7 separate regions of the Mus musculus genome follow, and all the other regions are reported to be linked to region 4. The links are microRNA targets in miRTarBase. Many come from high-throughput screens and were not tested one by one. Region 4 holds a microRNA gene; each other region holds the end of a gene's coding sequence.
What was found. The annotated mature microRNA mmu-miR-9-5p reads UCUUUGGUUAUCUAGCUGUAUGA and lies in region 4 at 2,449-2,471, shown strand. An mRNA with a match to its seed (bases 2 to 7 or 8) in the 3' UTR can be bound and repressed. Matches are read on the target gene's strand: a 7mer-m8 pairs with bases 2 to 8, a 7mer-A1 pairs with bases 2 to 7 and ends in A, and an 8mer does both.

Region 1 (4,451 bases), not on the chromosome of region 4:
TAGAGGCGGACCCGGACTCTCACAGAGGTCATTTACAGATACACCGTGGAAACCTGTGGTGTGTGTATGATCTCTGGCTGTGTCCTCTGAAAGGCCCTGGCTGTGGAAACACGTGAGAAGTGCGAGCATTTGTGACATGGGTATGTTCACGCTGCCTGTAGTTCTAGTGCTTGGGAGACAGAGATAGGGAGATTGGAATTTCAAGGTCATCCTCTGCTGCACGGCGAGTCTGATGTCATTGAGACCCTTTCTCAAGCCCCGCTCACAAAACAAAGACCCTATCTAGGTCCTGGGTTCTGGTTTCCAACTTCTCTTTCAATAAAAGGAACTGCGAATCCCTGGGGGAAGTGGCTGATCAGAAGGCTAAGGAGGGAAACAAGAGTGTGGAGAAAGCTCAGAGAGGAAGAACGTGCTTACATACTCACACACACTGATAGGTGGATTGCTTACACTGACACTGTAACAATTTAACCAGTAGACTAAGGAAAGTAGAATCACAGACTGCAGCTTTGGTTACAGATACCCCAGATAACAACTGCACCCATGAATAACCAGGCTGATGACTGGAGAACCATCCCATCTCTGTGCAGAGGAACTCTGAGATGGGACACACAGTTAAGAGGAGCACACACCCACTCCAGCAGCCACATGTGGGAAGCAACATATCAGAGGACAGCATGAAATGGGGACTTGTACCTTTGCCGTGACACCTGAGCCCTATGATTCACCATTATGGCTGTTGATAGCACCTATATAGACAGGCTCATCACCCCCATAGTATTCTTTCTGAAACCCATAACCCCAACAAAGCAAGAGAAAACACAGGCCAGTTTCCAAGAGGGCACCCTGAAAAATACCCGAGTAGTATTTTAGTAGCCATGGGCAGCTAAAACAAGGAGACTAAGAGGTGCTGTGGTATCAGGAGGGGCAAGGGAATGTAGGAAACACACAGACTGCGGCTTTTCACTAACAGAGGCAGCACTAGAGTTTATTATGGTGATGTGTTTCATGCCAGTATGGAATGGGAAATGAGGTCCTCTGGGATCTTTTCTGTACTGTTATCTCCTCTGTTGTAAATTTAAACATGTTGAAGATGTAGGACTCTACCACAGAGTTATGGCACCCAGCAGAAACTACCAACCTCCCGCTTTGACCTGTGAGGCCTTCTTCACCAGCACCCAAGTCACATTCCTGGAAGTTCAAGAAGGCAAAACTTCAACTTCAGACTGTGGGGACCAGAAAAACAGATGGGCTAGCCTGCACCTACCTGGTGTAAGAGTCACAACCCTAAGTCTAGACAACTCCTACAGGTTGAGACTTCAGCTAAACTGCATTCCAAAAACGGAGGCACTAGCCTGAGTAGGCAACCCCCTCCCACTCTCCATGCCTTCCTTTGGCATTGCCCAGAGTACACACGTGTGCCCAATTCCTTGTAGAAAGCCCATACTCACCCTGGTCCTTGTCTCTCCAGTCCTGCCAGCCCCTCCACAGCTGAGCCAGGTTCCCCTCCCCATTTCTAGAAATCACTTCCCAGCTGGGTCCACACTGTCCCATACAGAGCCAACTCCAGCCAGCAGGCCCTCCAAAACGGATCTTCTCCAACCTCCCCGTCCTTGGACCCTGTATCTCCCCTTTTGGCTGCCCATCCTCATATCTCCCTCTCTGCAGTCCCTAGACACAGAAGGTAGGTGGGAAGGAAGCACTTAGAGTGAACTGCTGTGGCATCCCAAAGACTTCTGTGCTGGCTACCGCGCCACACTAACACAGCAGCGGTTGTGTAGGTCCAGCTGCTGAGAGGGTCTGCTTGGTAGCAGGCAAGTGGATAATGAAGTTTCTTCAGTTTGAGTAGACTGGGCCTGGTGCCCATACTGATCCCTGGGACACACTACAACTGGCTGGGGTGGACTGGCCCATCTTAAGATGGCCTGAAGGGTCTCAGCTGCTGGGGGAGGTACTGAAAATACCCTAGGCTCTCCGGTTTGTTCCCATCTCCCTCTACCATGGGTTTAGTTACCCCAAAAGAGCCACAAAGCCAGCTGAAGCCAAGCTAAAGGACACCCTGAGGGTCCCTTAATACAGCAAGACAAGATCTGGCCAGAGACTCAGTGAGTCTTCCAGGGTGGCATCTGGCACCAGCTGTGACACACCCCACAGAGCCTGAGAGGGGATGCAGGAACCTGGGAACCTCCACCTTAGCAGTAAGGAGTACAGACCAGTCAAGGCCCAGCCAGGCTGCAGCCCCAGCAGTACCCTCCCTACCTTCTCCAGGCTGGAAATGCAAACCTTCGGCTGAGCCCCTCCACCTGCCGGCTGGATGCTGATCCTCTCTAAGGGCATACTGTGGGGCTAGGGCCACCTCTCGCCACCAAGCACAATGGGGGATGGAGGAGGGGCCCTCAAGGGCTCCATTGTTCCCCCTAGGGTCTGAATCCATGATTGTCCCTGGGGGTGGAGCAGCAGGGATCTAGACAGGCCTGCTGGTCTCCCCAGCCTCCACTTGAAGTCCAGGCAGTTCTGGCTCACCCTTCTAGAGAAACATCTGCAGTTTTGGAGGCAGCCCAGGACTTCCCAGTCTCTCTGGCTACTTCTGCCTGGGTACCTGCCTGCCCTCTTCACACCCACATCCAGTTAATACCCCCAAGTCTGCCCCAGGAGCAGCCTCACCTGGAGATGCACAAGGCAGAGCTGTGGCTGACCACCGGGTGGGGGTAGCTGGCAACAACCACTGCCCTCCCTGCTGGGATTGCTCTCTTGGGCGGAGCCAGCAGCCTGGGCTGGGAGCCCAGAGGAAGAGGGAGGACAGCAGGACCAGACACTCAGAATGTCTCATCGTGGACAGGAGGGGAGGGACATCTCCCTCAGGAATGCTGCACCCTGCTACAACCTCTAGAGCTCAAAATTTGCGATCTTTACAGAAGGCCCAGGACTCTGCCTGCCTGCAGCCCTCACAGGGCTCACCTGCCCTTCCTTGGGTTGGCTGCCTATACCCAAGGCCAAGAACACACAGCACCCACAGCTCCAGGGCCAGCATTATGACCTTAGCTCTTCCCCTGCAGCTGGGCACTTTTGTTCCTGGCAAGTGGTATCTGTCCCTCTGAGTCCCCAAATGGCTCAGAAATACCTCAAAGAGACAGCAGCACTAGGTTGTCTAGGGCTGAGACGATTCCAGCCCATACTGATTGTCCCAGTTGCCTGACTCCCAGGGGAAGAAGTGAACACGAGCAACCCTAGCCAGCATTCTGATGACTAGTGGACCCTGGATGCGGGCAGGGACAAGGGCCACTAGACACCTATGCAGAGCCCCCTTAGCAGCCTTCATCTGGGCTGACCATGGAGGGGCAGAAAGCCAGAGGCCATAAGCCCAGTATGGAGGGCTGTGACACTATAATTCAGTAATTACTTTATTAAGAGGTCAGTCCCGCTCCAGCAGAAGGAACAAGGAAAGGAACACAAATAGTCCAGGGAGATTAGATATGGGTACTCTTTGGAGTCATTCAGCCAGTGAGTCAGCCCACGGTGCAGAGCCACCTTGTGGTCAGACAAAGGGTAGCTCCTTCTACTCCACAGTGGAAGTCTACTACAAGTCCTTGGTGCCCTGGCAAAGTTTCCCCCACCTCCAGGCAAATTTAGACCACAGACATCACTCTGTGGAATGAAGCAGGCCTTCAGGCGTGGCCAGTTCCCTGTGCTTTCTTGATTTCCTGCCAAGGAAGAAGGGAAACAGAAAGTCAGGAGAGGCAGGGAACCAGGGAGGGCTAGGGCTCATATCCTCCCTGGGTTCCCAGGGACTCCGGCTTTGCACCTGTACTTGACCATTCTGGCAACTGGCAAAGCCAGGGCTGCTTACAACACAGCAGGGTGTGAGCCCCGGCAACACAGGGTTTGCTGCGTTCACAGGATGGCTTGTGCAGGGGACTTCCCCAAGACAGGGTAGATGGGAAGGGCCTACCTCAGAGAGCGCCTGCTTCAGGGTTGCATAGGCTTTATCCAGGTCGTCATTGATGATCACCAGGTCAAACAAGCCAGGCTCCTTGCCTGGGGTGAGGCAAGAGACAGATTCAGGAACACTGGGACTTCGGCCCCTGCTGGGCTTGCCCCACTGTTAACAACCTGCTATCTGGCTATGGCTACTGTTGCCGTCACTGTGGTAGGATGGCCAGGGCTGGACAGTACTCTTGCTTCCCCTCTTCTAGAGAACCTCAGCTGGGGGCTGCTCCCATCAAGTCCTGACTTCTGGAGTGTGGACCACTGCCCCTGCCCAGGCCTCTCAGAACCAGCTCTGCCTGGGATGGACTGCCACATAAGGAAACAGCAAACGGTCTCAATGACAGTGTCTGAATGTGGACCAAGCTCAGACCCAGAAGCAAGAGCATAGCTACAAAAAGAGACCTACAACACTTAAGTCAGTAAACAAGTGTGGCCTCTCAAAGGCTCTGCAGACAGCAGTCTCG
Region 2 (4,451 bases), not on the chromosome of region 4:
CAAGCCATGTCACCCCCGTTTGCCAGGGCTTGGGATCTTCAAAGAGAAGGTAAACCCAATACATCCCTTCAGGTCCAGTGACTGCGAGGTTCCTCACGGTCATGAGAGGTTGTCATAGTTCCTGGGAATGCTGGTGGTCACTGCCATCTCCTCCTAGGATGTGCTAACGGGCATGGAGTCATGGCTCTATCTGGGAGTTACAGGGAGGGAGTCTGCCAGCCAGTGCTGGCTGATCACAGCTGTGCAGCGCGTCATCCGTTCACATACAATGACTAGTAGTAGTGTGATTATACAAAAACCACTGTATCAAAGACTGGCCTTGACCTGAGTGGGCTTAGGGCGGGGTCCCCAAAAGCTGTCAGCTCTAATTTCTATGAACCTCTGGCACTGGAAGCTCCAGGGTTACACTGGGGGTCCACACCAGATCAGTCTGTCTCCCTAATGGCTCAGGGACAATCTTGCTCTTCAGCAAGCACCTATAACTTATGAATCTCACAGTTCGGAACCCCGGGGACAGCCTTTTAGCTTTTTTCCCCTAACCAGGAAAACACCTTATAACTCAGATAATGCAGTGTCTCTTAGGAAACTTTAGAATCTGAACACAACTCCAGTAAGTACATCACGGAATGAACAAGAATCTAGTATGAATAACTTACTTCTGAAGAAGAAAGCTAACCTCTCCCAGCTGGAATTTGTCTGAGGCTGGAGGACTGCCTGCCTAGAACAGGGCTCTGGCTCTGCAGCCGACTGTAATCCAGTGCAGGCAGGCCCGGGCCAAGCTTCAAGCTGCTCACCCTACATCCCAGTCAGCTGGTCAGCCCCCACTTCAGATCCGTCTGTGCACACTACTGTGTGCTGCTTTCCCCACTGATCTGCCAAGAATATCACAGAACAGAACAGTACCCAACGCTGGTTTTTCAACTTTCCATTTATTCACATTTCATGGATTGTTACACTTCCTTAAAGGCTCATTCAAAAGCTAACACACACTGAGATTACACTGCCTGACAATTCAAGTATTTTAGCTGGAGAAAACAAGTTCCCGTTCCGAGTAGAAGGCGGATCACTCCATGTGCTGGCTACGAAGTCTGACGTCACTTTTACAAATCTGTGTTAAGGGACAGTCCTCAGGCTTGTGATTGCTTCTGGAGAGCACTTGGTGGCTGTGTACAGAGCATGTGGCTAGAAAGACGCCCTGAAGAACTCCCAACCTCACCTACAAGTGACAGAGCAGGCCATCTCCTTAAAATCCCACTCCAGTGGTCTAAGTGGGTACTCTGCAGCCTCAAGGGGCTGTTTCTCATCTTCAGAGATAGTAACATAATGAAGAAACTGGCAAGAACAGACTTCGTAATGTTCAAAAGGTAGGGAAACGGCTTTCCCTGACAGCAAGGTGAATTCCCCTCTATGCCATAGGAGGTATTTTTTTTGTTGTTGTTGTTGGTTTGTTTTGGTTTTTGGCACACAGCATGTAAAAAAACAGGATTCAGAACTGAAATGGTAAAACAGAGCATCAGCCCACCAACAGTCGGACCTGTCACTGACACAGACACAGCCTGTACAGTGTGGCTCTCTGAGGAGGACATGGCAGGGCTGGGAATGTGTCATAGTGTGAGCTATAGTGTGGGAAGGCCCAGGCTTAGCATCTGCCAGATGCACCCTGACCACAGAGAACACACACTTCCTTCAGGCAAATGTAAGACACAACGTGAGATTTTCAAACTGGAGATACACACCTCAGTTCACATTAAACAGACAAGATGCAAGTTTCTAACACGTTAAACCATAAATGAAGTTTAAGCCATGGGTTGGAACCAGCTACACACACAGTGGAAGAAGAACAGAGTGCCCTCCGGGGGCCTCCCTGTGACACTCAGACTTCATAGTGATTCCCATACTCAGGTCAGATGCAATGAGCTAGCTCCTAAAGCATAAAGACAAGACACCGAGTTACAGTCACACCCCACACATCTCCCCTGTAATTCTTGTTTCCAAAAGTGATAGTCTTTAGCAGCAAATTGCTGGAATGTTAGAAAAAAAAGCAAGCCACCCTCACTAATTTACAACTGAAATTGGCCGGGGAGCTCTAGAAGGCAGTCCAGTCATGATCTTTTTTGCTTTTATTCTTTTGGTAAATATTCAAGGCATGGGCAGATGCTCACAGAGCACTGCCACCATGAAGAGACAAGTTCCTGAAAGTGCCTGTGAGTTTGACACGTGTCAGCCCCACAGGCACGTGGCTACACAGTACTGTTCTGAAATGCACACCCCTTGTTTCATCTTTGGAAAGCTGGGAAGCCCAATGTGAAGAAGCCAGGGCCAGGGCCAACAGAAGCAGCAACCTGCTTGCTAGGAACCAATTCTCCATGCTACAAGGCAAAACCAAACCAAACCGCACAGCATCTCCTTAGGTCCACAGCCCAAGAAGCACAAACATGCATCTGCAGATACGTGCCAAAATGCACAGAGCACTGTCACCCCACCTCAAGAACATCTCTGGGCTCAGGAGGCAGAGGCAGGTGGATCTGAGTTCAAGGCTAGCCAGGGTTACATAGTGAGACTAAGACCCATGTGAAAATAAAAGTTAACCAGGTTTCATCCCACCTAGCACGGCAGCTTTAAGAAAGCAACTGTGCCACCCAGCTTTTGTCGGAACCTGATCACACAAGTGTGCGCCCCTGGGTACTGACCCTGAGCCTTCAGACAAGATCTGGTCCTAGTGTCAAATGGTTTTATGAGAAATGCAAGTGGACTTTTAAAGAGTCAAACTTTCTATTCTATTTGATTTTATTGGGGGTGGGGGAGGTGTCTTACAGTAGCTCAAGCTGCTGTGAACTCAAATGATCTTCCTGCCTCAGCTTTTCCAGCACCGGGATTAGACAGGAACCATGACCAGCTCGTCATCAAATCTCGAATTTAACCCATGTCTGGTCTTCAGAGAATACTAGTATTAGCAACCTCACCGCTCTGAGGTAACATGACCAGCGTGTAGAACCATGGCTCTCTTCCAAATGGACATACTCAATAATACCTCATCCTTAAAAAAGTAAAGATAAAAATGTTTTCTTCAGACGCCAAATAATATGCTGCTGTCTGAAGCTACGGGCCAAATGAGCCGTCTTCCACTCCCATACTCTTGCTTCTCATGAGCACACGGCTCGTGAGAGAACTCCATTCAGACTGTGCCCACCAGGGCTCAGCAGGGCACAAACGGCCATGAGCACACAACCCTTTTCAGCACGATTTCACTTTTTTCTTTTAAAATAAAGGCTTATTTGTGGTATAGAAATGATATAAAAACACTACCAAATTTGTGCTTTTAATAAAATCCATTATTCCTGACAGCCCCCGTCCATGCTAACTAGGGAGGAAAGCTAGTAAGAGCACCTCATGGATAAACTCCAGACCCAGTCTGTCCACCGCCAGCTCCCCACGAGCCACCACTCATGGTCTTTCCCATGGAAAGGCGGTTCCTGGTTCAGTCAAGCAGCTCCAGGTCAAAGGCCAGCACCAGCCGAGACAGGCTGACGACAGATTCCCAGTACCCAGTCAGCTCAGAAGGAATGGGCAAGCGCGGTCGGTCACAGTGTGGCGGTGTGCTGTCTGGCAGGAGTGCTAGTCATGGTCAGACAAGCCCACAGGAAGGAAACGGGCGGTGTCTTCAGGAACACTGGGTCTCCTGGGGAAGGCAGAGAGCGGCACCACTGCTGCCTGAGGGAGCCTTTGGAGAGCTAACTGGTACCCTGATTATAGTCCATTAAGAATCACTTAGGTTAGTTTACTCAATGAATCAACATTAAAAACCATCTTCCCACACTTTTCACTCCAATGTATTTTGCTTAGTTCTTAGGAAGGGAGAAGAGCTTCGACACACTGAAAGGATTTATTGGCCTTAATCTTCCTCACAAAAGTTCAAGTTACCTAGAAGTTCTCAGAATGTCACAGTAGAAGAGGAAAGAATGTGACTAAGTTAGGGACGGAGGGGAAGCAGCAACGTGGCAACATGCCTTGGTCAGCCTCAGTGCTCAGGCATCCTTTTTCTCCAGTAAAATCTTGTGCAATTCATCGGCATCCTCGCTCGTCTTCACCCGGATCAGCATGGTGGCCGGGAGAGTGGGCTGCTTCTCATCGAGTGGGGGGTTGGGGACACAGACGATAAGGACGTTGTTCTTTCCTGTCCGGGTGCACGGCATGTTGGGGGCGATCAGAACATTCAGCAGTATGTTGCCTTTGAGTAAGCAAAGGGAGATATTCATCAGGACATAAAAATAACTAGAGAAACTATCTATCAAAGCTGTAGGATTCCGTAAGAGGCTAGGAGTCAATCCTGAAGCGACTTCTTACTGTGCTAAAGGTACCGCCATAAAGGCCTCCCGCTCTTGTGTTCGGGAGTGTGGCAGGCTGAGGGGAGCAGGGGCTTGACAGGCACCAATGGCGGGGTGCTTCCTTCC
Region 3 (4,451 bases), not on the chromosome of region 4:
AGAGAGGCTTTTGGCTCTCAGAAATCTCCTGTAGCCTGGCCCATGGATCCTTCCTGACTGTGGGGACAACTGATACTATCTCCATGGAGGGTTAGAGGGTTTAGATACAGGGGTCCCAACTGAAGCGTGGGGAAGACCACTGTGTGGCTCCTCAGATACTGAGCTGGATGGCAGATGAGACCCTGTAAAAGCTGGCATCTGGCTGAGTGGGGTTGGAGCCGAGCAAGTAGGAGGGGCTGCAGCGGCTGAGGGCACTGCCCATGCCTTCCCCCTGCTGCTGATGTAGGTCTCCCAGGTGTGTGCATTTGGGACCTGGCCTGCAGCCCGGTCTCTCCCTAACCATCTGTCTCTCCCCACAGGAGTTGCTGCTCTTCCTCCAGAACCTGCCTACTGCCCGCTGGGATGACCAGGATGTCAGCCTGCTGCTGGCTGAGGCCTATCGCCTCAAGTTTGCCTTCGCAGACGCCCCCAATCACTACAAGAAGTGAGCCTGGGGCCCATGGCAGTGGCCTCACCCTAGGGATAGCATCCCCTCTCTGCCTGGGCAGTTGCTGGCCTCTGGACTGGTCCTTTCCTGGTGTGACCTAGCAGAGTGGACCCAGCATGGTCCAGGGCTGGCAGGATAGGCAGCCTAGTTTGATGAGATACCAAAGAGAGCCCAGGAGAGACTCCTAGCTTCAGAAGCTCAGTGTGGCCAGGAGTGCCCTCACCCTGGCCCTGCCTTGCCAAATGCCCTCCCTACAGCCCCCAGTCCAGACAGCCAAGAGGAAGTCCCTCAGAGAGCCCTGCTGTACGTACGGGTGCCAGGCAGAGGTGGGCAGCCATCTCAAGCCTGCTCTCAATTGCACAAATCTATTCTGTCAAGTGAAAGAATAAAGTCCAGAAAACAATGCCGAGCATGACTTAGGCTGAGCTAGGAGTTCTGCACACAGAGCCTTTAATGGCCCCATGTTTAGGTTGACTTGGTTTAAACAGGGCTAGGTCAGGAGTTAGATCCTGGGAGACTGTGGAACAAGAGGAGGCCAGGGCAGGCTGAGGCTTCTCACGGTCACCTTACTTTCTGTTTTTAATTAACTGGTTCCCTGTCCGGGTGAGGAAAAGGGTCAAGGAACCCCCAGGTGGGCAGGGGTTTTTGTCAGTCAGGGTTCCAGAGATTGTCTCATGGGCCCAAACTTGACCGCAACAGGGCAGAAATTAGTGGTTCTAAAGTCCCAGCCATGTGTAGGGGGCTTCTTCCTAACACCACCCAGATGGCAATAGCCAGGAGCTGCTGGGCTGGCCTCTCTTCATGCCCTACTGCCCTTTCCAGAGCCACTGGGTTAGAGCCTTTGCCCCGTTGCTGGCCTTCTCCAGGGCCCTCAGACTGGCTTCTCACATGTATATCCCACAGATGCCCCCACCAGGCTGCCTGGCCTCTGTGATGTGGGATCCCCAAGGACCACCAGGCCACCTGTAGGACAAGAGCCTAGACTCCTAGAGCAGCCTCCTGTCCTCAGTTACCCACTGCAGCCCACTCTGACCTGTCCCTTCTTTAGGAGCAGCGCAACACTGCCCAGGCACTAGGACTCTGCCCAGAGGCTGTGGGGAAGACATAGGGAAGACGTGTGCCTGCTTCTGTTCAGATGATCCTGGGTCAGGTGGGATGTGACATCAGCAGAGTGCTGTGCAGGCAATCCGATGTCCTGGATCAGCAGAGGGACATGCTCCCTCAGACCAGTGCCTGTCCTGGGTGAGAGGCACCCAGTTATAAGGAAAGCTACCTCTGTGGCTCTGGAGAAGCACCATCTTCCCTGATCCTTCCATGGTGCGGATCACCCCTCAGCCAGAAGGGTAGGCCCATAACGATCTGCCCCATGGTGTTTTTATGAGATGACAAGGACCCATGAGGTTAACTTAAGCCCTGAATGTATTTTTATGTGTGCAAATGCTTGACTGGGTGTACGAGACGCTGGCGACAGTCCTGTGTCTGAGCCCATGAGCTGAGCCGGGCAGGATGTGTGCTTTGAATGTGATGTGTTGGAAACACGAAATAAAGATGCTTCATATGGCCTGTGGTCTTTTTATTGCATTTATTTGATGATGGGGGCTGGGGTACCTGTGCCATGGTCCAAATGTGGCAGTGAGAATACAACTTGCCGAAGCCTATTCTCATCTATCATGTAGGTATCAGAGATCAAACACAAGATGTTAGGCTTGGTGGCAAGCTCCTACACACACTGAGCCATCCACCTTGTTAGCCCTATGGTCTTGACTCACTTTCTCTTCAAGGCTTAGGCCCTGTCCCAACACTGAGCCTTGTGCTCTAGGCCTAGTCTTGATCACAGCAGTGCTGTGGCCTTGCTGACAAGGTTGGGACCTCAGGAGAGGAAGAGTACGTGCCCATGGCACGGGCATGCCACTTTCCTGGCTCTGACCCTCTGAAGTCCAGACTTGGTATTGTCAGGAGCCAGAAGAATAAGTGTCAGGGCCTCCAAACTTTCTGCCAGCCTCTGGACAAGAGACAACTCCAAGTTTCCTTTGTAAAAAGCATAAACTGAGTTGGCGCTGGGATCTGGGCCCCTCTGCCATACCCCCAGGAACCCAGGGCATGTCACCCTACCTTCGGTCCCAGTGTAAGAGTCATGACCCTGGTTGAACACCTGCCACGTGCTGTCATTTCCTTAATTGAGTACTTCCCTGCCTGGGATGGGCTCCTGGGGCCCAGGGTTCCTGGACAAGCTCCTATCCTGGGTGGTAGCCAGGACACCGAATTCACAAGACAGAACCTACCTACTTAGCTCTACTGTTGCGAAATGCCTGAAGTGACACCATGGGGCAGTCACTATGGCGAGGCCAGCTGTGTTGGAGAGGGGAGGGTTTCCTGGGATGACTTGCTCATGTGGGAGCACTCATGCAAGTCTATGTGGGAGCACGGAGATGAGCTGCAAGAAGATAGGCCCTAACTCAAGTGCAGCCAGACGGCCTCCAGGTATGTGTTGTCCTGGGCATGCCCTATCCAAGAGTGTGGGAACAGAAAGCCTGAATTCAGGCCCCTCCTGGAGCCTCCCTACCCTTCTCTCTGTGCATTGGCCTGCTCCTCTCTCACCTCAGGCATTCTTTCCTCTGGTATGACCTTCAGCTAGCAGGGCTGAGCCACACACATCTGCCCCATGTCACTTGGAGTCCTTCCAGACCCTCTCTTCAGTCCCTGGCATGGAAGATGCTTAACAGGTAGCTTTGGAGGCACACAGATGAATGACCCTTCAGGTCCATTTCGCTGACAGATTGAGATTGCTTAACATCTCCCATCAGAGGAAAAATGTGGGACCAGGTGGTTTACTGCTGGATTCTGCCGAGAATTTCAAGAGCTAACACCACATCCCTTCAAAAAACCCAAAGGGGAGGGACCACTTCCAAACTCCACTTACCAGGCCAGTATTCAGTCTCCTTGGTACCAAAACCAGACAAGGACTGGGTCCTAGAAGAAAAGCCAAGGAAAGGACAAGGAAAAGACAAAGGACTCAGGAAAATCCTTAACAATTCCATGAATTCACGACACATGGAAGTACAGTCCATGAGGGCAAAGTAGGATTTGTTTTCCATGTGCAAAGATGGTTCAACTTAAGTAAATATGGTATGCCTAATTAACAGAATGAAAAAGCCACGTGATCATGTTTTACATGCAGGAAGAGCAGCTGGAAAATTCAATAGTCTTTCATAATTCAAAACATTATCCAAGCTAGATGCACACCTTTAATCCCAGCGGGGACGGGGGACAGAGGCAGGTGGGATCTCTATGAGTTCAAGACCAACCTGGTCTATATTGTGAGTTCCAGGACAGCCAGGGCTACACAGAGCCATGTCTTGAAACAAAAAACAAAAAAGTATGCAAACTGAGTATAGAGGAATTATTTACAGTATAGAGGACTACACCTCTGCAGAGTGAAGACCCTGTGTAAGAAGCCCACACCCAACAATTTACAGTAGAAAGCGGAAGCCCTTTTTAAGGCCTGGAATGAAACAAGGAAGGCTGCCTGTTCTCACCACTGGAGGAACTCAGTACAGCACTGGAGGTACTCAGTACAGCACTGGAAGTACTCAGCCTAATACTGGAAGTCCTTCCTGGACAAAGTGATAAGGAAGAGAATTTAAAAAGGAGTCAGAAAGAAGATATTAACCCATTCCTGTTTGCTGTTGGCATGGTTCTACTAAAAGAGAGAAATTACAACTAGTGAACAAATTAAAGTCCTAGCATTTGCTATGACAGCAGCAAACTCAGAGGCAGGACTCAAGAGAACTACCCCATTTACAATGGTTGCAATAAAGCAAAGTCCATCATAAGACAGCAGTAAAGATAACAAGAAAGTAGGAAATCTGTTGTCCTAAAAGCTAAAGTATTGATAAAAGGATTGATGAAGGTGTGGCTACACCAAAAGATGCCTGTCTTAGTCAGGGTTTCTATTCCTGTGCAA
Region 4 (4,451 bases):
TATTAGCCACCACCTTCCATCTAAGCAAGATAAGCAGTCCACAGGTCTGGCTTTGTTTTGGGCTATTCATGGGACTAGCAGATAGACAGACCCAATGGTTAAAGTGATAGTCCCCTAAATGGACTGCTGGTGACTCCGTGTTTAGGGGTCCCTGGTTACAGGAACTGGCTGGTTTAATCTGACCAGCAGGATTTAGGCATCTCAGCCAGTTTTATAGAAGGGACCCAGCAGAGGATAAGTAGGAGGATGAAGGGACCGCTCACTGGCACACAGAGCAGCTCCTGGGGCCCATGGTTGCTCTGAGAATTTCGATGTACCTAGAACCCAGATGTTGCCCAACAGCAACTGGCTACTCCCCGGTGCTTTTCTGCTTCTGCTTCTTTGGTGGAGAAAAGGACCTTTCTGGCTGGACTGGATTGAGAGCCAGGTGGAGGAAGTTGAGGACGGGGACAGAGCTTTGCCTGAAAGGCATCTTCCTTGGGGAACCGAACCCAGAGCTGGCACTGCATGCCTGGGAGCCTGGAGGAACATGGGTAGAGGGAAAGACCTATTAAAGGTCTCCAGGACTTGGCCAAATTCTGAGTCTCAAAAGCAGCTAGGATTCTGTGGTTATCTGCAGATAGGGTCAAGGAACATTCCCCTGAAATGCAGAAAAGAGGGCCCCCTTTGCTCGCCCATTGTCTCATAGCAGGAGACTCAAACTGCACAGTCTTCCCTTCAGTGAGGGTTTGAGTTGAAAACCTTGAACAAAAGAGACCCTTGCCTCTCCTAAATATTAGGATCACAGTTTGGGAGGAATTAGAACTCAAAAAGACTCTAACGGTGGGGTGAGGTGGGAGGGGGTCAGAGATAGAGTCTCCAGTCCGCATCCCTGCCTCAACCTCCTGGTGCTGAGATTACAGATCTCTTCTCTTTGAGGGAATTTTGCCCTATTTATTTTCTATTTTTGCGTGCTGGTCTTGGTGCAATGTACCGTAGAGCCCAAAAGGAAAATGTAAGATCGACAAGAAGAGCGAAGGTGGCCATCAGAACCGCAATTGGCAATGGATTATAGACGTGGCAGGCGGGTTGTAGATGAGGCAGCAAAAGACTAAGGATTGGCATAAAGACATTGGATCCCATTCTCTGGGGGAGGGGCACCCCAATTGCACGTCTTGGACTGGCCTGGGGAGGGAGGGGGTCGGGCATGGAAAGGCTGGGGGGGAGGGGGGGAAGAAACGAGACAGTGACGTCAGACCAGGTATAGCCAATCAGGGGCTGACCTGAGGAAGGAGTGTGAAGGGATGAATGAAAAGTCCGGAGCCTGAGAGCGCCCCCGCCAGAGCAGCGGCCAAGGCTGAGGAGAGAGCTGGGACTCGAGACCCTGCTCCACCCTGCTGGCTCTCGCTCGGCCCCATTACCTGGCAAGCCCCGGCATCCTTGACCCACGTCCGTGGCGCTGCCTGGGTAGGAACGCGCCTGAAGACCGCGCAGGACACTACCACTGGGCATCCTGGGTTTGATGTAAGTGGCCTGACCCGCGTGGGGCACGAGGTGGGGAAAGCGCCTCAGAGTCCAGCGCGCGCGTCCGCCACCTGCGACCACGGAGCTCTACACCCTCTGCACGGTCCCTGGACCTCCTTCCAGTGGGTTCAGTCCAGATAGCCCCCTCCAGCCACTAAGGGCATCTCTCACTCAGACCCCCAGTGGCATATTTCACATCTCTGAATGATTTCGGCTGCGTTTTGCACAAAACCGGCTCCCGCGCGGTTCCGTAGGTCCAGGGCTCGGAGCACCTGCCTGGTCACCCTTTGCCCTAACCCGCAGCCCCACGTCCTGACTGCTCGCCCGATTCTCTCTGGGTGGGGTCTTTGCCCTTGGGAGAGTCGCTGGGGAGTCTCTAGATCACCCTCCACCCCGCCGCCAGCCACAGGCTTCCCTCTGGGCCTCGGGGTTCCCCAGTGCTGGGGTTCCCGTCCGGGGCTTCGCGGCCGCTCCCCTGCAGTCGGTAGCTCGGAGCAGCTCTGCGAGCTCGGCTCTGCCGCACCCCGCGGAGCTCACACTCGACCTTCCAGAGAAGGGTGTGGACACCGTGGGAGGTTGGGGAGGCCTCGGCCTAGGCTTCTGCGGTCTTCCCGGATGGCACGAAGGCCCTGGAGCCTTTCCACTAGCACCGGCGGAACCCTGCTTCTGCACGGAGGAGGGAGTGGGAAATGGGCGGTCAGGCTTGGGGCCGCTTGGTTTCAGCCTAGATTCCCGACCTCAGAACCGTCGGCGGTAGCATCTTTTCCTCGCCTTTCTGAGGTCTCGTCGTGATAGTGCGTGAGGTCCTGGATCCCATCTTTTCGCCTCCACACCACGCGCGTCCCCCATCCGCCGTCGAGCGACTCGAGACTACGGAGGTCCAGGCGGTGGCCGGGAGGCTGCGTGGAAGAGGAGGAGGCGGCCAGGAGGCGGGGTTGGTTGTTATCTTTGGTTATCTAGCTGTATGAGTGGTGTGGAGTCTTCATAAAGCTAGATAACCGAAAGTAAAAATAACCCCATACACTGCGCAGAGGGCCTGGAACGCTGGTAGTGGCCGAGCTGCAGGAGGGAGAGCCGTGCCAGGCGTGCCTGGAGGCTGGAGGGCTGGGGGGAGGGGGACTCGTCGCCTTCAAAGGTTGCTCAGCCCGAGCCACCTCGCGATCCCCACCCGCAACCTGCTCACCTGGGAAGAAAGCAAGAAGCCGCTCTGGGGTCGCCTCTGGAGGCCTGGTCAAAATGGAGCAGTCTGGGCCTCAGTCCGGAGAAGCCGCTCCCGGGAGAGACAGAGCCCTTGGCTGAAGGGTTGGGGGGAAAGTGCAAGCATCCCTCTCCCGGTCTCGACGCATCCCGGGAGCGGGTGGCTGGTGTGAGCAGCTTCCCTCTGGCTCTTCGAAGCGACTGGTGGAGTTCGAGGTTCGTAGGATGTCTCTAGAAAGCTGGTTTTTGCTTTGGTGGTTTCCCTGAAGCCCTTCAGCTTTACTGGGAGTCAAGATTGCCCAGGTGGGAACAGGTCTAGGAGCGGGGAAGGCTTAAAAACCAACACACACATCGAACTTATTAGGGAGAATGGCGATGCAGAAACAAAGTAACCACAAGGGCAAGGGCCAGAGTGGCCAGAGACCTTTTTACCCCACAGGAATTCTGGGACCCTGGGGCGCAGGTTCTTTGCTTTCACTTTGGCCTTCAGGACCAGAGCTAAGTCTAACTGAACTCTCTCTGGCTGCTTTGTCATTAGTGGCTAAAGGTGTAGAGTTGGGGTGGGGGGCTTTAGAGCATCCCACCTTTCGGTCCTAACCTCACTCTTGGAAATCGTGTCCCAAAGGAACAAATGGCCTCAAGGAGCTCTGTGGAGCTCAAACACAAAGGAATGTGTAGCTGTGCTGCCCAGAGAACGCAAAGAATTAGAGAGATTAATTTGGGCTCCTGTAAAAAGAATCTATTTATCTTGCCTGACCTAAATATTTTAGTGAAAGAGGGTTTCTACAGCTGAGAAGATGGTCTAACAAACATGGCCAGAGCTAGGAATCCCCTCTGCTCTCATGGCCCTCAGCCGAACTTGACCAGCTGGCACTTGGAGACCTGGGCTGTACCGACTAATAAGAGGCAGAAAACTGGGCAAAATGTCATCACCCAGACTCCGCTGGTTCTTATAAATTTAAAATTTCCTCCCGGGACCTGATTTTACAGTTAGAAGATAATGATTCAATTTTGTATTACATGGGGGGAAATATTAGAGAATCCAAATTCAAATTCTGGGACTTCAGGGAATCTATTGCCTGTGTGTGTCTTCTTTAGCAGTTAGGGGAGGGAGAGTCGAGTGGCCTCTTAAATTCCAGAAGCTTGGAATTTGTTTTGTTTTGGTAGGGGTGGTGGGGATGAAGCTTAAGTCAAGGAGAAAAGAGGCTGGGTCTAGGCTGGAACTAATGGTCTGGCCACAGCCTGTTTTCTTTTTCCGCTGCTTGAGAGATGCCATGTGATCCCATGTTACACAGGCACAAGTGAGCAGCTGACATTACTCACTGGCTTGACACTCAAAGCTCCTTCCATTTACTCTGTCTTGGAGAAAGTGACACTCCCCACCCCAAGGGAGCCAACTGGGAAAGTAGAAAGAAGGGAAGCCTCTCTGTTATTGGGAATTTGCATGGGCAGAGGAGGGGCATCAATAAAATAAGCTTCCTTATCATTACCATCTTTAATGTTTCCTGTATAGTGTCTTCACTGTAAATTCCAGGACAGCCAGGGCTACACAGCCCTCTATCATAGCACAGGCCTATAATCTGAGCAGTTGCAAAGTAGAGGACGAAGGATCAAGAATTCAAAGTCATCCTTGTCTACACAGCAAGTTCTTGGGCATCCTAGAGTCCCCCTAAACACACACACACACACACACACACACACACACACACACACACACACACACCACATATTCCCAGGAACACTTAGAGTCT
Region 5 (4,451 bases), not on the chromosome of region 4:
TGGGTTTGCCTTTGAATACTTTGCCAATAGTCAGTTTCATGACTGCTCAGACCATGTCTGTTTCATCAGCCCTGAAGTCACCCAGTTCATTAAGTGCACCAGCAGCCCTGCAGAAATTGCCATGTTCCTTGAACCCCTGGATCTTCCCCACAAAAGAGTGGTATTTTTAGCCATCAATGATAATTCTAACCAGGCAGCCGGAGGTACCCACTGGAGTTTGTTGGTTTATCTCCAAGATAAAAATAGCTTCTTTCATTATGATTCCCATAGCAGGAGCAACTCAATCCATGCAAAGCAGGTAGCAGAGAAACTGAAGGCTTTCTTAGGCAGCAAAGGAGACAAACTGGTCTTTGTGGAAGAGAAAGCCCCAGCTCAAGAGAACAGCTATGACTGTGGGATGTACGTGATATGTAACACCGAGGCCTTGTGTCAGAGTCTCTTTAGACGGCAGCCAGAGTCCCCGCTGCAGCTACTCACCCCGACATACATCACAAAGAAGAGAGGAGAATGGAAAGATCTAATTGCCAGACTTGCTAAAAAAAACGAAGTAGCTACTGAAGAATGCTCGTGATGTTTGAAGTCTGGTCTTTCTGCCTTTCTCTATGGTGACAGCCTCAGTGCCTGAGGGAAAACCACTAGTAGATGAAAGTTTACAATTCCTGCTTCTTTATTGTTCTGTAAGAATGTCATCCTCTGTGTTCTCTGAATGGGAAGTTTCACTGTAATCCTGAGGAAAGCGGTACATTCTGTGGAAATGTCTTGAACTTACGTACCAAAACTTTAGTAACAAACCTCTCATTACACAGTTTCAAGTAAGAGCCTTCTTTTCTTGTTGGTATAAAACTATTATCCCTTTTGGTCTCCCTTCCTTGTTGGCTTATTCCAAAGAAGTGATGTTCCAAAGCAAACCAATAACATGAAGTCTAAAGACATGCATGAAGAAAACAGCAGAAGAACCAACATCTTTGTTTCACAGCCATAGTGAGGCGTCCGACTGGAGGTGGATCATTACCTAACTCCACTTATAGCCTTCGGTTTATAAAAATAAGGCATTCTCGGGTGCAAAGGCTTTCCCGTCTGCAAATACTTAATAAAGATGACTTTAGCTCATCTTTATCTATTTCCTGGAATGCTTTAAGAACATGGAACGTCATTAAAATAAATGGCTATAGACTGGGAGCATAACTTTGAGGAAGAGCACCTGCTGTGGTGTGCAGGAAGACTTGAACTCAATTCCAAATTGCAGTAAATAAAAACAAAACAAAACCACCTGCGGGTGTGTGGTGCATCTCTGGTTTCCCTGAGTGAGTGGGTGACTCAGCTCTAAGTGATGGTGACTTTGTCTTGTCCTTTACATGGATTTAGTCCCTCCCTTTACCTAACGTGCTGTAGTTCTCAAGCTCACAGGATAACCAGCCAAGATTAGCTGTTATTTCAGACATGTTCTACTTTTGGTAGATAGAGCTTTTACACTAATCTAGCAGAGTTGTTTTCAGGTATGTTGTGGTAATCTCCATACTATTAATGATCTAAAACATAGGAGCAGTTTATTTTTTAAATATAAAGGAAAAAAAATGTCACCTTCCTCAAACTTAATCCAAAAAGTAAATGGTATAACTTTAAAATATGGAAACAAGACTAAAATGAAATACTACTCCCCACAAAGCTATTGATAAATTTTTCTACTTGTTTCAAGTAATTAACACAAGAAGTTGGGCACACATAATAATTAGACCCCGATAACAATTTGCAGTGTATATGGGATGTAAAACACAAAGATGTGATTCACTCACTGAAACTGACTTCAGCTACTTCTCCACTCTAACCCTGACCCCAGCGTTCATAACCCAAAATAACCTCTCCAGTCAGCAACTACAGAGGTACTCAGTTCCCTGGAGCCAGGAAGAGGAAGATGGTAAAAGTGTAAAAGCACAGGCTGCATAAGCAGGCTTCAGTGTATGGGATCTGAAACAAGTTTAAAAAAGGAAAAAAAAAAAATGGGAGAGAGGGGATTCCATTTCAAGTGAGCCCATTTCAAACCAAAAGACTTAATGAAAGATAGGCAGGAAAATGTTAGAAATTGGCAGTGAGCCATAAATGAAAGAGACAGGACAGGGAGAGCAAGCGTAGGGACACAGGTTCTGATAGGCCACCAGTGGAGATAAAGGCAGCAAGCAGTGTCATTTCAGTGACTGTTTACTTAGGCAGCTGATCTAGACCTTCGGAGAGTCTGCCCTCTCAGGGGAAGGTTATCTTTCGGGTAATACACAGTATGCTTGTTTACTTAAACATCAGCCTGTCTCCCCTTTAATAGCTAATACATGCGAGAGCAGTCTTGTCTAATTCCCTAAGGTTTGTCCCAGAATTATTTTTTAACTAAACTATTGTCTTTATTTAAAAACATAAAAATATACAATCTTTTTCCAAATACATAACATGTTTGTAATCAAACTTTAAGTTAGTCTTTTGTTGAGTAGGCTTTGTGAGACAGCTCAGAGGATTAACACACTTACCACCAACCCTGATTTGACCCCCAGGTCCTACTTAGTAAGATGAGAGAATTGGATTGGCTCCTTGTAAGTTGTCCTGTCTCCCAATGTACACCTTGGCATACTTGTAACTACTCACAATATATATAAATAAGTGTAAGAGAATCTTGAGTAGATAATTTGAAAATCTTGACTTTGTAAATAACAGATTTTGAGCTTACACGTAGTATTTCACTAGATACTAGGATAGTCCATAAGGTATATACCTGCTTAACCATACACCATTAATGTAATACTCATAATACTATACTAATAATATAAATACATTGATAATAATATTAATATATTTTATTTCAAATATCCAATTGTGCTGCCCCACAAGTATATTTGAATATGTCTAACCTGGGTCTCAATATGGAATTGAGAAGTTACATATATAAACCCAACATTAGCTGGGAGTAATATATATGTGTATTCTCTACCTCAGGGCTATACCTTCAGCCCTATTTTTTATTTTTTGACTTTGTGGGTTTGGTTTGGTTTGGGTTATTTTGTTGGTGGTGGTGGTGGTTTTTTGTTTTTGTTGCTGTTGTTGTTGTTTTATTTTGTTGAAAAAGGGTTTCTCTGTGTAGCCCTGGAACTCAGGTCATGGACCATTCTGTGTTGTGCAGTTAAATACTTTAGATACCCTTAAAAATATATGTCCATGTGTTGCTATAATTTAAAGTACTAGATAACATTATAAAGGTTTTATGCATTTATAGCCATTTTTATTGTTGGTTTTTTTCAATGGTAGAGGAATTGAGACAGTCTCTCATGGCCCAGGCTGGCCTACAACTTGATATGTAGTCACTTCTGATCCTCAGACCTCCAGCTCTGGAGGAATAAGATTACAGGTATATGCCACCACTCCTGGCTAATTTCATTTATTCTTATATTTTTCCAAGTGGTCTTATTCCTATTTTATAATAAATAAATGCAATGTCAATTGTGTGGTCTCTGTCTCCTCATATCCTTCGCATCTCTTCCTTCCTTGATCCCAGAAAGCAATGCTGAATAGTCCTTGCTTGAACATTTTCTAGTGCAGTCTTGCTTTCCTTTCTGAATTGAACATGTTCTGTTGGCTCACTGCAGAAAGCAGCAATAACTGCCGTGTAACTGTTAACAGCAGAACCTGAAGAGTCACTGGCTTTGTTTTATACATTAGGTCATCTTTGGACCAACTCCTGATGTCAATGTACTGATCTAATGTTCTGGAAAAAGCCCTACAGTGCACTTCCTATTTTAAATGGCCTTTCATATTCTTACATATGAAAGATGGAGAATAAAACAAGAGCAGACATCTGGATAAGCTATTAAAAATGGGAGGGGGGCTTTAGGAATATGTCAAAAAATCAGTACTAAGCAAAGATAAAGCAATTCTCCACAACATAAGGAAAACTAGCCCCCAAGTTCCAACATGAGACTGAGTTTCCTCTAAGGAAAATGAAGTGTTAAATGTACTTAGAGTGTTCTTGCGGCTAGAGAGATGGCTCAGTGGTTGAAAGCGCTTACTCTTCTTGCAGAGACCCAGGTTTGATACCCAGCATCCTCATACGTGGTGGCTCACAGCCAGTGGTAACTCCAGTTCCAAGGATTTGACACTCTGAATTCTGCTGGCACCAGGCATACGTGAGGTACACATAAATATATAAAGACAAAATATTTGTATAAGTCAAATAAAAACGTTCTTGAGCAAGAGACAACACGTGTCTGTGTGTCAAAGGACATGGCAGCTGTCTTCAGCGCCCAAAATAGGGGTACATTTTTATGCTAGAAAACAAAATTACTCTTAAGTCCTGCAGTTTGCATTAAAAGACAAGAGAAGGGCAGCTCTCTTCTCTTCACATACCAGTACCTGGTAGTCCCTGTGTACGGCAGCCCTTTCCCCGCTGGGCAAGCTCAGACAAGATTTCTGAAGCA
Region 6 (4,451 bases), not on the chromosome of region 4:
CGACAGCTCTTCCGAAGGTCTGGAGTTCAAATCCCACCAACCACATGGTGGCTCACAACCATCCATAACGAAATCTGACTCACTCTTCTGGAGTGTCTGAAGACAGCAACAGTGTACTTACATATAATAAATAAATAAAATCTTAAAAAAAAAAAAAAGACGTATATGAGCTACTTCTGAAAAATGCTAACCAACTTTAGAACTTAACCCTACAAGCCAAGATCAGTGTGGGAGCCAGCTGATATTAATATTATGTGTGTGTACATATGTATACATGTATGGACAGAAGCCTGCAGAAGTCAGAAGAGGGTGTCAGATCACCCACAACTGCTGTTTCAGACACTTGGCTAAATACTGCAACTGGGAACTGAGACCAGGTCCTCCAAAAGAGCAGGATTCAGTTTTGTTTTGTTTTGAATTATTTCATTTTGTGCATGGCTATTTTGCTTCCATGTATATTTCTGCACCACATGCATGCCTAAGTGCCCTCAGAGGCCAGATGAGGTGGTCAGATTCCCCTGGAACTAGACTAACAGCTAACCATGAACTACCACACGGGTGTCGGGAACTAAACCTGGGTCCTCTGGAAGAATAGCTAGTGCTCTTAACCACTGAACATCCCTCCAGCCTCAACCTGTGATTCTTGCTCCTGGGAACACGTGCTGAATAGCAGTGGTAATTTTGCCTCTGCAATCAATAGGATATTGGAGGAACTAGGAAACGGTCTTGTCCTGAGGCACGACACAGAACACACTGCAGCTGCTGCCTTGCTCTTTTGGACCTTTTAGTTTTAGTTCCCGAAGCGATCTCATGTAGTAGATCCTACTTCATGATGGTCAGAATGGCTCCCATCACACATGGACTTTGTCATTAAGCTATCAAGGGGCACGATCCGTGTCCTCTCCTTGAGTCTGAGTGGGTTTCTAACTGCTTAAACAACAGGTGTACAGCAGCCATGAGGACATGTGGCCTCAGGAGTGTCGGTGGGATGGACAGAGCTCGGGTCTCATTGGCTGTAACACTGCTGCTTGGCGTCTTCAGGTGCGGCCTAAGTCTGCTTAACTTGAGGTCCCCATGCCCGGGGAAGGCTACCTGAGCCAGCTCTGTTCCACTTTCTCTTCACCCAGCGCAAGTGCAGCTACACGAGCAGAGGGCCAACCCCAGCCCTGTGAACTTTCAATCTTCCTGGCTGATTCATCTGATACAGCTCACAACTAGAGACGAAACAGAAACCAACTCTTTTTTTTTTTTCCCCCCGAGACAGGGTTTCTCTGTGTAGCCCTGGCTGTCCTGGAATTCAATCTGTAGACCAGGCTGGCTTCAAACTCAGAAATCCACCTGCCTCTGCCTCCCAAGTGCTGGGATTAAAGGCTTGTGCTACCACACCCGGCTTACAAACCAACTCTTGGGGCTGGTGAGATGGCTCAGTGAGTAAGAGCACCTGACTGCTCTTCCGAAGGTCCGGAGTTCAAATCCCACCAACCACATGGTGGCTCACAACCATCCATAACGAGATCTGACTCCCTCTTCTGGAGTGTCTGAAGACAGCTACAGTGTACTTACATATAACCAATAAATAAATCTAAAAAAAAAAAAAAAGAAAAAAAAAAACAACTCTTGTCCTTGTCCTGTTGAGATTATCCAACAGGGTCAAGTGACATATAAAATTGTTGTTTTAAGTCATTAAATTTTGGGGTCATTTGTCTTATAGGAACAGCAACTAGATCCCTCTGTTACTATTCAATTCCCTAGTAATCTAAAACAGGCTAAACTATTTTTAGGGTGGCAGGACACAGGAGGATATATCACTAGGAGAATCAACAAGAACAAACACGTGGGCCAGGGGCAGCTCAGCAGTTCAATTTGCTGACCTCGTAAGGGCCTGGGTTCCACCCCAGCACAGAGGAAAAGAAGACGGGGAGGCAGGGAGGGAGAGGAGGGGGGAAGCAACCCAGCAACTGAATCACAACATGCATCTGAGTCAGTATGAAGTTTTATTAACACACATTTGTCAAAGTCTGTACAAAGCAAACATTCCTATGTTTTAAAATGTCCATTATTACAAACATACAAAGAAGCAGAAGGTGTTACCAAAAGTTACTCAATTACATGGTAAAATGCTGTCATGATTTAAAAAAAAAATCACCATTTCAGGACTGAGGTTCCTCTATCTTTCAGGAGCTTGTGGTAGTTTAGAAAATGTGTGGATTTGCTGAATATTAAATGCTAAGACCTTAAAAAAGGTTTAGTATAAAACTAAGTAAGCCTTTGTATATTGTCACACCACACCAACAATTTCTCAGTCTTACTTTTCATTGACGAAACCATGACTGTTATTCTTTTCCTACCATCTTTTCCCCACAGCCAATGCAAATGCATTTGAAAAATACTGAACGAGTTTATCTTTACCGAAGTCTCTCATTCGGAAAGTTACAAAATGATTTAGCACAGCAGCTTTCCCTGCTTAGAAGGGAAAATTGCACTCCCGACCAGTGTTACAAAAACACAGTCCTTCGAATCTCCTGTCGGGAAGAGCCACTCGAGTGCGGACCGCTGCTCACCTGTGTGCATGTGACTCTTTGGAGAACGTAATCCCAGACTACAGAGCAGGTGAACAGTGACCCTGACTGTCCCAATGTCACTGCCTTCAGGATCCGCTCTAGCTCCAGCACCGCTGGCACTCACTGCAGGGTTTGCTCTGTGTCCCAGCACATACTCCCCATCTCTAGTTCCTTTCCCAAAGATGGAGGGGCGCAGCTCCTTCCCACAACTACTGAGTCAGACAGGGATAAGGGCACACCCTTCGGCTCCCAGAAGCGCGTGCTTTCTGACTTTCCATTAAGAACAGGGAGCACGCGGGATGAGGGAGAGAAAGGAAGGAACAGTGAGGTCCTCCCCACCGTGCAGCCCACACCCAAGCAACCCATGCCAACCCTCGGAAATGCTCAGTAGTTCACGTCTTATCCCGCTTGAATCTGCTCAAGTTAAAAAACAAAACCAAAGATCCAGGTTGTGATAACAACGTGGTACGACAGCTGATGTAGCAAGAAACAGGAATACTTTTAAAAAAGAAGTGGCAGTGTGGGAATTTAAAATTATGTAGAAGGAGGAGGAGGGGTGGGTAGAGGAGGAAGTGTCCAGTACAACCTGGACAAGCATCTTTCTGCCCTACTTAAAGACAGACTGGCCATACTCAGCAACCGTCCTTAAGCCTCTCCTCACACGCTCTTCCATGGGGTCCTCCAAAAGGCACTTAGCTCCACACGTACGCCTCCAACATTACCTCAGCATCAAGACTCTAAGGCAATGAGAAAGAAAAGGTTGCGTTCTTCTACTAAAAGCTAGCAAACGGGACTGGGTTTGTTTTTTGTTTTTTTTTCTTTTTTCAAAGAGGCATCACTTTTACAAGAACTAGCTAGGCTACCATCATTCCTTTATCAAGAAAAGGTTTCCTTTTTAAAAAATAAATAAAACTCTGTCTATACATTGTACAAAGGTCATACATAATATACCTGGAAAAAACCCAAGAGTATACCCTGAAGCAAAAGGTTTATTGGTGAGAAAAAGCCTCCCTCACTGCACAGAGTCTCCAGGTGGCAGTTTTCGAGGTTGGGAGCGGCAGTGATGTACAGCTGACGACAGACTGCTTGCTCACGGGGATGGCAGGTGTGATGGTGGACAGACACTCTGCACGTGACACTGAGCAGTGACCACTATGGAAAACAGAGTACTAAAACAGAGAGGGGGGGGCCACGGGGGCGGGGAGTGGGAGGAGGAAAGGAGGAGGTCTGGGACCCTAACCGCTCAGCATGCAGCCATAACAGGGCACAGACCAGGAGTTCCTTTCAGCCCACTGCATCCGAACAAAGAGGGTAAGGTAAGAAAATATAGAGATTTTGTAGGAAGCACACTTCCCAGAGACCAGCCAGCTCAGCAGCCCTGACCCGGGAGCACGGGCTTGGTGCTGGGAGCCTCCTCACGTCTTCACGGAGACGTTATGGTGCCTGACTTCTCAGACTTCTTGCTCTTGGACAAGGCAGCTGCCTGTTTCAGAAGCTCTCGGTTTTTGGCCTAAAAATAATAAAAATAAAGTCAGTACACACTCAGTTTCCACAGCATAGAATGTGGTTTTAATGCAGAATAGGTTTAATGAGTCATAGTAACAACGGTAACTGGGTGGGGGTGGTGCACACCTTTAATCCCAGCACTTGGGAGGCAGAGGCAGGCGGATCTTGTCTGAAACTAGCTTAGTCTTGAGTTCTAGGACAGCCAGGGTACACAGAGAAACTGTGTCTTAAACAAACAAACAAATAAACAATAAAAGAAAGAAAGAAAGCCAGCCAGCCAGCTGTCTGTGCAGGTAGAAAGAGGGAACTCAAGAGGCAGGAAGTGGTCCTAGGAAGAGAACAGGAAATTCTGGGACTTGACACGGAGTTAAAAAGGACCTGACA
Region 7 (4,451 bases), not on the chromosome of region 4:
GGGAGCCATTGGCTCAGCACCAGCACCGTGCATTTCAGTTAATAGACAGCATGTGTTCAATGACAGGGATGGAAAATTACTGTGGCTTACTAGTTTCAGAACTTAGCATTTCTGTTTTTCTAAAGCGAGAAATAAACTTGGGATCAGTGGGAGAAATTACTTCAAGGATATGCTTAGCAACAGTGGACATCGTTTTAAACAAGCTGAGAACCCACTTTGCTTGGCTCTTTGAAGTTAGTCTGATGGGCCACTGAAGGCCAGGCTGCTTACATCACCTCTGTCCTTGTTCTGTCTCCTTCCTCCTCTTGGTCCTTCTGGTGGTGTCCTGGGCTGTGGAGTCAGCGGGTTTGAGCCCAGTGGCAGACCCTGGGCTTTGTCAGACTGATGTCATGGTCAGGCTGTCCGCACTGAAGCTGTGCCTGCTCTTTAGAGATCACACAGCTGGTGTAGCTCACAGCTCTGTCATCTTTGGGGAACTCTGGCTTACTGTCAAATAATTCCCATTACACTGACCAGAGGCTGTGACTTGATGGTCGGAATGTAGAGATTGGTGAGGCCCTGGATCCATTTCAAAGGCTACAAAAATGAATTTTAAAATGCCAACATGGATCCAGTGCACGCTGCGCTCCTTTACTGTCTGGTAGCTTCATGAACGACAGTGCAGCTGGTCAAGAGTGAGAAAAGCTGAGGTCAGTTATACGTCTTCAGAGGTTGGAAAGAGCGTGACTGGCTTGGTTATTTACTTGAGGTCTCCCACAAACCCTGGAGTGTTTGCCAGAGCACAGGTCTGCCATGGGAAGAGTTTTGTCTCGCTTGTCACGTGTCTGGCTTGTGTCTAGAAATTTAAGTCTTGGGTTAACTGTAGTGAGTACCATGTCTGTGGAAGATGACCAAGGTCACAAGTTGTTCCACTTTAGGCAGTAGAAGCAGGGCAGAGCCGGAGCAACCCACCTCTCAAAAGGCCAGTGCGAACCCAAGCAGTGGTAGACCAGTCTGATGTGTACACACAGGTGCTGTCACCATTCGTGGAAAACAAGGTATGTAAGTGGGGTCCCTGCGTGGGCTACTGTGGGGAGCAACAGGATCCACACTATGGTTAAGTGAGCGGTATTGCCCTGGGAGAGGATCTGGGGCTGTGTGGTTGGCGTCTAGTTCATAAGGATTTGTCTAACACCAGTAGCCAGAACACTGGACTTTACTGGGGATCAGTGGGCTGCCTGTAGCTCCTTTTGCAACTGACATTACAAGACCCCCTTCTTCCTCCCTAGGAGATGCCGCACAAGTTTGTGATAGCTGTGCTGATGGAATATATTCGTTCTCTGAACCAGTTTCAGATTCCAGTGCAGGTACTTTCAGAGGGGTATTTGCCATCTTAAGTTAGAGAGAGGAATGAGATCAGAAGAGATGGCTAAAGAATCTGCAGACCCCAGGTGCCTTAACCATGACATTTGGTTCTCAGTGGGAACGGGTGTGGCCAGCCATGGTCCAGTGACTCAGCGATATAATTTACTTCCTCCTGTGTCCCCAGCACTACTTACATGAACTTGTCATCAAGACACTGGTCCAGCATAACCTCTTCTACATGCTGCACCAGTTCCTGCAGTACCACGTGCTCAGCGACTCCAAGCCTTTGGTCTGTACCACTGGATGCCCATTTTGTAGTCACTAAACCTTCCAGTGGGACCCTTCAAACTGAAGCTAGCGGAAACCCTGTCTTTCAGGCTTGCTTGCTGCTGTCCCTAGAGAGCTTTTATCCTCCCGCCCACCAGCTATCTCTGGACATGTTGAAGGTAACTGCCCTGCCACGGCTTCAGGTATCCCCAGCATTCCTTCCCGTGGTTGCCCTTACCTCTCCTTCTTACTTCCAGAGACTTTCAACAGCAAATGATGAGATAGTAGAAGTTCTTCTGTCTAAACACCAGGTGTTGGCTGCCCTGAGGTTCATCCGGGGCATTGGTGGCCATGACAACATTTCTGCTCGCAAATTCTTAGATGCTGCGAGGCAGACCGACGATGTCATGCTCTTCTATACCATATTCCGCTTCTTTGAACAGCGGAACCAGCGCCTGCGAGGGAACCCTAACTTCACACCAGGTAAGGGAATGCCCAGGGTGGCCACAGACAATGGCAGCTTTCATCAAGTTCAGGGCTGAAGGGCATAGCTTATATCTGACTTTGGGATCTCTCTATAGAATCAGAACAGGAGTGCACATGGTGGAGAAGCATTTGAAATGGCTTGGGCTTTGAATGCTTCAGTTTTAAGCAAGTAGTGATAAGACAGGACTCGAGAGAATGAGCCTATGCTGTGTATACACACACAGCACAGACGGTATGAGTGACAGACAGGTCAGGGATGCTCTGGCTGCTGAAGGTGTGAGCTCTGCAATAAAAGACCTCAAAATGGAGGAGGAGGTATTTTATTAAAGAAAAATAAGTTAAAACCCATGAGCGTTGTCTGCATCCTGTCTTCCCGGGCCATAACCAGCTGCTGACTGAGCCGCGTTGTCCTTACAGGAGAGCACTGTGAAGAACACGTTGCCTTTTTCAAGCAGGTTTTTGGAGAACAAGCTCTAATGAGGCCTACAACATTCTGAAGTCCCTTAATAGTCTTTTTTTTTTTTTAATATAAAAATGTACAAAGTTAATTTATTGCATTAATAAAGCTCTTTAAACTACAAAAAAATGTAATAAAGTACCTACAACATCCTCAAATGTTGCTAACTCCCAAAGAAAAGGAGACAGCATGTGGGGTAGGGATCAGGTCACAGTTATTGCCACTGGGAAATGGAAACTTAAGGGTTCTTTGGAAAGTCAGTTGTGTTAGATGGGGTTTTGCTGGGGCAAATGTGAAAGAACATTTTGCTGAAGCAGACACAGGTGAAAGGCAGACTTGTGAAGGACTGTTTCCCTAAAGCAAGCACATGAAAGGACACGTGAATGACAGGCATGTATTGGTTGGTCTGCCTTATATTGTGTAGTTGAGCTCCATGTGTTGGGACTCCACAGAGAGAATATAGAGCTAGCTGTGTAATGTTTGTTGGTCTCCAGTCTTCGCTGATAGAGGAACAGCCAAGAACCTCTGGTGTTCCTGTCGGCCCTGGTCCCTCCTGCTGAGGCCTGGCTGCTCCTATCCCAACACTGCTGGTGTATCCGTGAAGTGTTTGCGAGTGGGTCGAGCTGCCACTGCTGACCCGTGAACTGAATTGCTGGTTTCCTGATAATGCAGACAGGATCTGCTCCAAAGAACCATTTCTAAACAGGTCCACTTCCCCTGTATCCTTTCTTTCCCACTATCTCTGGTTGGTGGTGGGCTAGAAGGGAGGTTAAAGTGTTTAATAACCTCCATTAAAAGTAGGCATTGAAACAAGTTAAAGTGACAGAACTATCCTTCCTTGTACCCAAGATGAGGTTTCTACTGGTACGACAGTAGGGGCTGGCGATTGTTGCTTTCAGATCCATTAATACTGCTTCACAAGTTAGGTGTGCATTCCTGAGTTTAAAAGCGTGGGTAGAGCTGCATGTGACACAGCTCGGACACAGCCTGAAGCCAGCTCAGTCTTGACAGCGCAGCTGTCTTGCAGTAAACTTGACCTATCCATAAACACAGTCACCAAAGCCTGCTACAAGGCTAAAAATTGAGGAGCCGTTCTCTCTCTGTCCCTCTGTAGCGCTCGTAAGTGGTGTGTCTTTTAGCTTTATTCACCGACGGCCCTGTGTGAGACAAGAGAAGGCGTAAGTAACCTCCTAGGCATGGAAACCAGCCATGCTCTTGTTGCTTTTTTCTATTTTATTTTTGTGTGTGGGTGTTTTGTCTGCATGCATGCCTAGCCAGAAGATGCTGCATGGTACAGCATCTATGCAGCGCTCCAGAGGCCAGAAGAGGCTGTCAGATTCCCTGACTGGAGTTATAGTTGTGAGCTGCCATGGGGGTGCTGGGGACTGAACTTGGGTCCTCTGGAAGAGCAGCTAGTGTCTTTCTTAACCGATGAGCTGTCTCTCCAGTGACTTAGTAACAAAGCTGTGAGGCAGACTCATCCTGTTACCTTTTCAACTGGGCGTCACTGTATGAGGTGGAGTGAGCCCTGGCCTCCAGGATGCCTAAGGAAATGCCCTGGCCAACCGAGACGCCCTGGGGGAGGTTTTACTGTTTCCTTCTATGGTTTTAATGCAGTATGAGCTAGCTGTCAGTACAAACTCAAATACTTTAGAAAGTCCAAGTTTAAATTTTTCTTTGAGCCAGGGTCTTTTAGCTTAGGTTAAACTCACTGTTAATGACCTTGAACTTTGGATCCATCCTGCTTCCACTCCCTGGGATTTCAGGCTTGTGACACCATGCCCTGTTAAGTAAATGTCGTTCCTCCCACGCCCGTGAGAAGAACGAAATGCTCTTACCTATGTAACTGAGTAAGACGGGAAGAAATATTAGTCCATGAGTGGCTCCGAGTAAGACC

Region 1: the mRNA of Guk1 is a reported target of mmu-miR-9-5p. Seed matches in the 3' UTR shown: 7mer-A1 at 3,482-3,488.
Region 2: the mRNA of Nup50 is a reported target of mmu-miR-9-5p. Seed matches in the 3' UTR shown: 7mer-A1 at 2,280-2,286.
Region 3: the mRNA of Tbc1d22a is a reported target of mmu-miR-9-5p. Seed matches in the 3' UTR shown: 8mer at 647-654.
Region 5: miRTarBase lists Senp8 as a target of mmu-miR-9-5p. Seed matches in the 3' UTR shown: 7mer-A1 at 883-889.
Region 6: the mRNA of Fam76a is a reported target of mmu-miR-9-5p. Seed matches in the 3' UTR shown: 7mer-A1 at 2,577-2,583.
Region 7: the mRNA of Npc1 is a reported target of mmu-miR-9-5p. Seed matches in the 3' UTR shown: 7mer-A1 at 2,801-2,807.

What each region holds. Positions count from the first base shown.
Region 1 is chr11:59,180,487-59,184,937 of GRCm38, forward strand. It overlaps Guk1 (guanylate kinase 1), which reads right to left. Exons shown (of 8, transcript NM_008193.3): 7 at 3,950-4,035; 8 at 3,369-3,701. The coding sequence ends at 3,666. Gjc2 (gap junction protein, gamma 2) reads right to left here and starts at 2,340. Exons shown (of 2, transcript NM_175452.4): 1 at 2,260-2,340.
Region 2 is chr15:84,939,423-84,943,873 of GRCm38, reverse strand. Nup50 (nucleoporin 50) reads right to left here. Exons shown (of 8, transcript NM_016714.2): 8 at 911-4,228. The coding sequence ends at 4,026. Among named protein-coding and RNA genes, the nearest start is that of Mir1249, 10 kb to the left of the region's middle.
Region 3 is chr15:86,496,454-86,500,904 of GRCm38, forward strand. Tbc1d22a (TBC1 domain family, member 22a) reads left to right here. Exons shown (of 13, transcript NM_145476.2): 13 at 360-2,050. The coding sequence ends at 488. Among named protein-coding and RNA genes, the nearest start is that of Gm34965, 110 kb to the right of the region's middle.
Region 4 is chr3:88,213,165-88,217,615 of GRCm38, forward strand. It overlaps Mir9-1 (microRNA 9-1), which reads left to right and starts at 2,434; the gene lies at 2,434-2,522. All of the region lies in intron 2 of Gm3764 (predicted gene 3764), which reads left to right. It overlaps Mir3093 (microRNA 3093), which reads left to right and starts at 2,007; the gene lies at 2,007-2,093. Gm25641 (predicted gene, 25641) reads right to left here and starts at 2,506; the gene lies at 2,449-2,506.
Region 5 is chr9:59,733,287-59,737,737 of GRCm38, reverse strand. It overlaps Senp8 (SUMO/sentrin specific peptidase 8), which reads left to right. Exons shown (of 2, transcript NM_027838.3): 2 at 1-3,479. The coding sequence ends at 571. Among named protein-coding and RNA genes, the nearest start is that of Senp8, 15 kb to the left of the region's middle.
Region 6 is chr4:132,897,238-132,901,688 of GRCm38, forward strand. Fam76a (family with sequence similarity 76, member A) reads right to left here. Exons shown (of 9, transcript NM_145553.2): 9 at 1,976-4,071. The coding sequence ends at 3,985. Among named protein-coding and RNA genes, the nearest start is that of Stx12, 15 kb to the left of the region's middle.
Region 7 is chr18:12,187,292-12,191,742 of GRCm38, forward strand. It overlaps Npc1 (NPC intracellular cholesterol transporter 1), which reads right to left. Exons shown (of 25, transcript NM_008720.2): 24 at 4,393-4,451; 25 at 2,403-3,711. The coding sequence ends at 3,629. Rmc1 (regulator of MON1-CCZ1) reads left to right here. Exons shown (of 20, transcript NM_029623.2): 15 at 918-1,037; 16 at 1,269-1,346; 17 at 1,529-1,633; 18 at 1,722-1,790; 19 at 1,869-2,094; 20 at 2,515-2,683. The coding sequence ends at 2,594. Among named protein-coding and RNA genes, the nearest start is that of Rmc1, 21 kb to the left of the region's middle.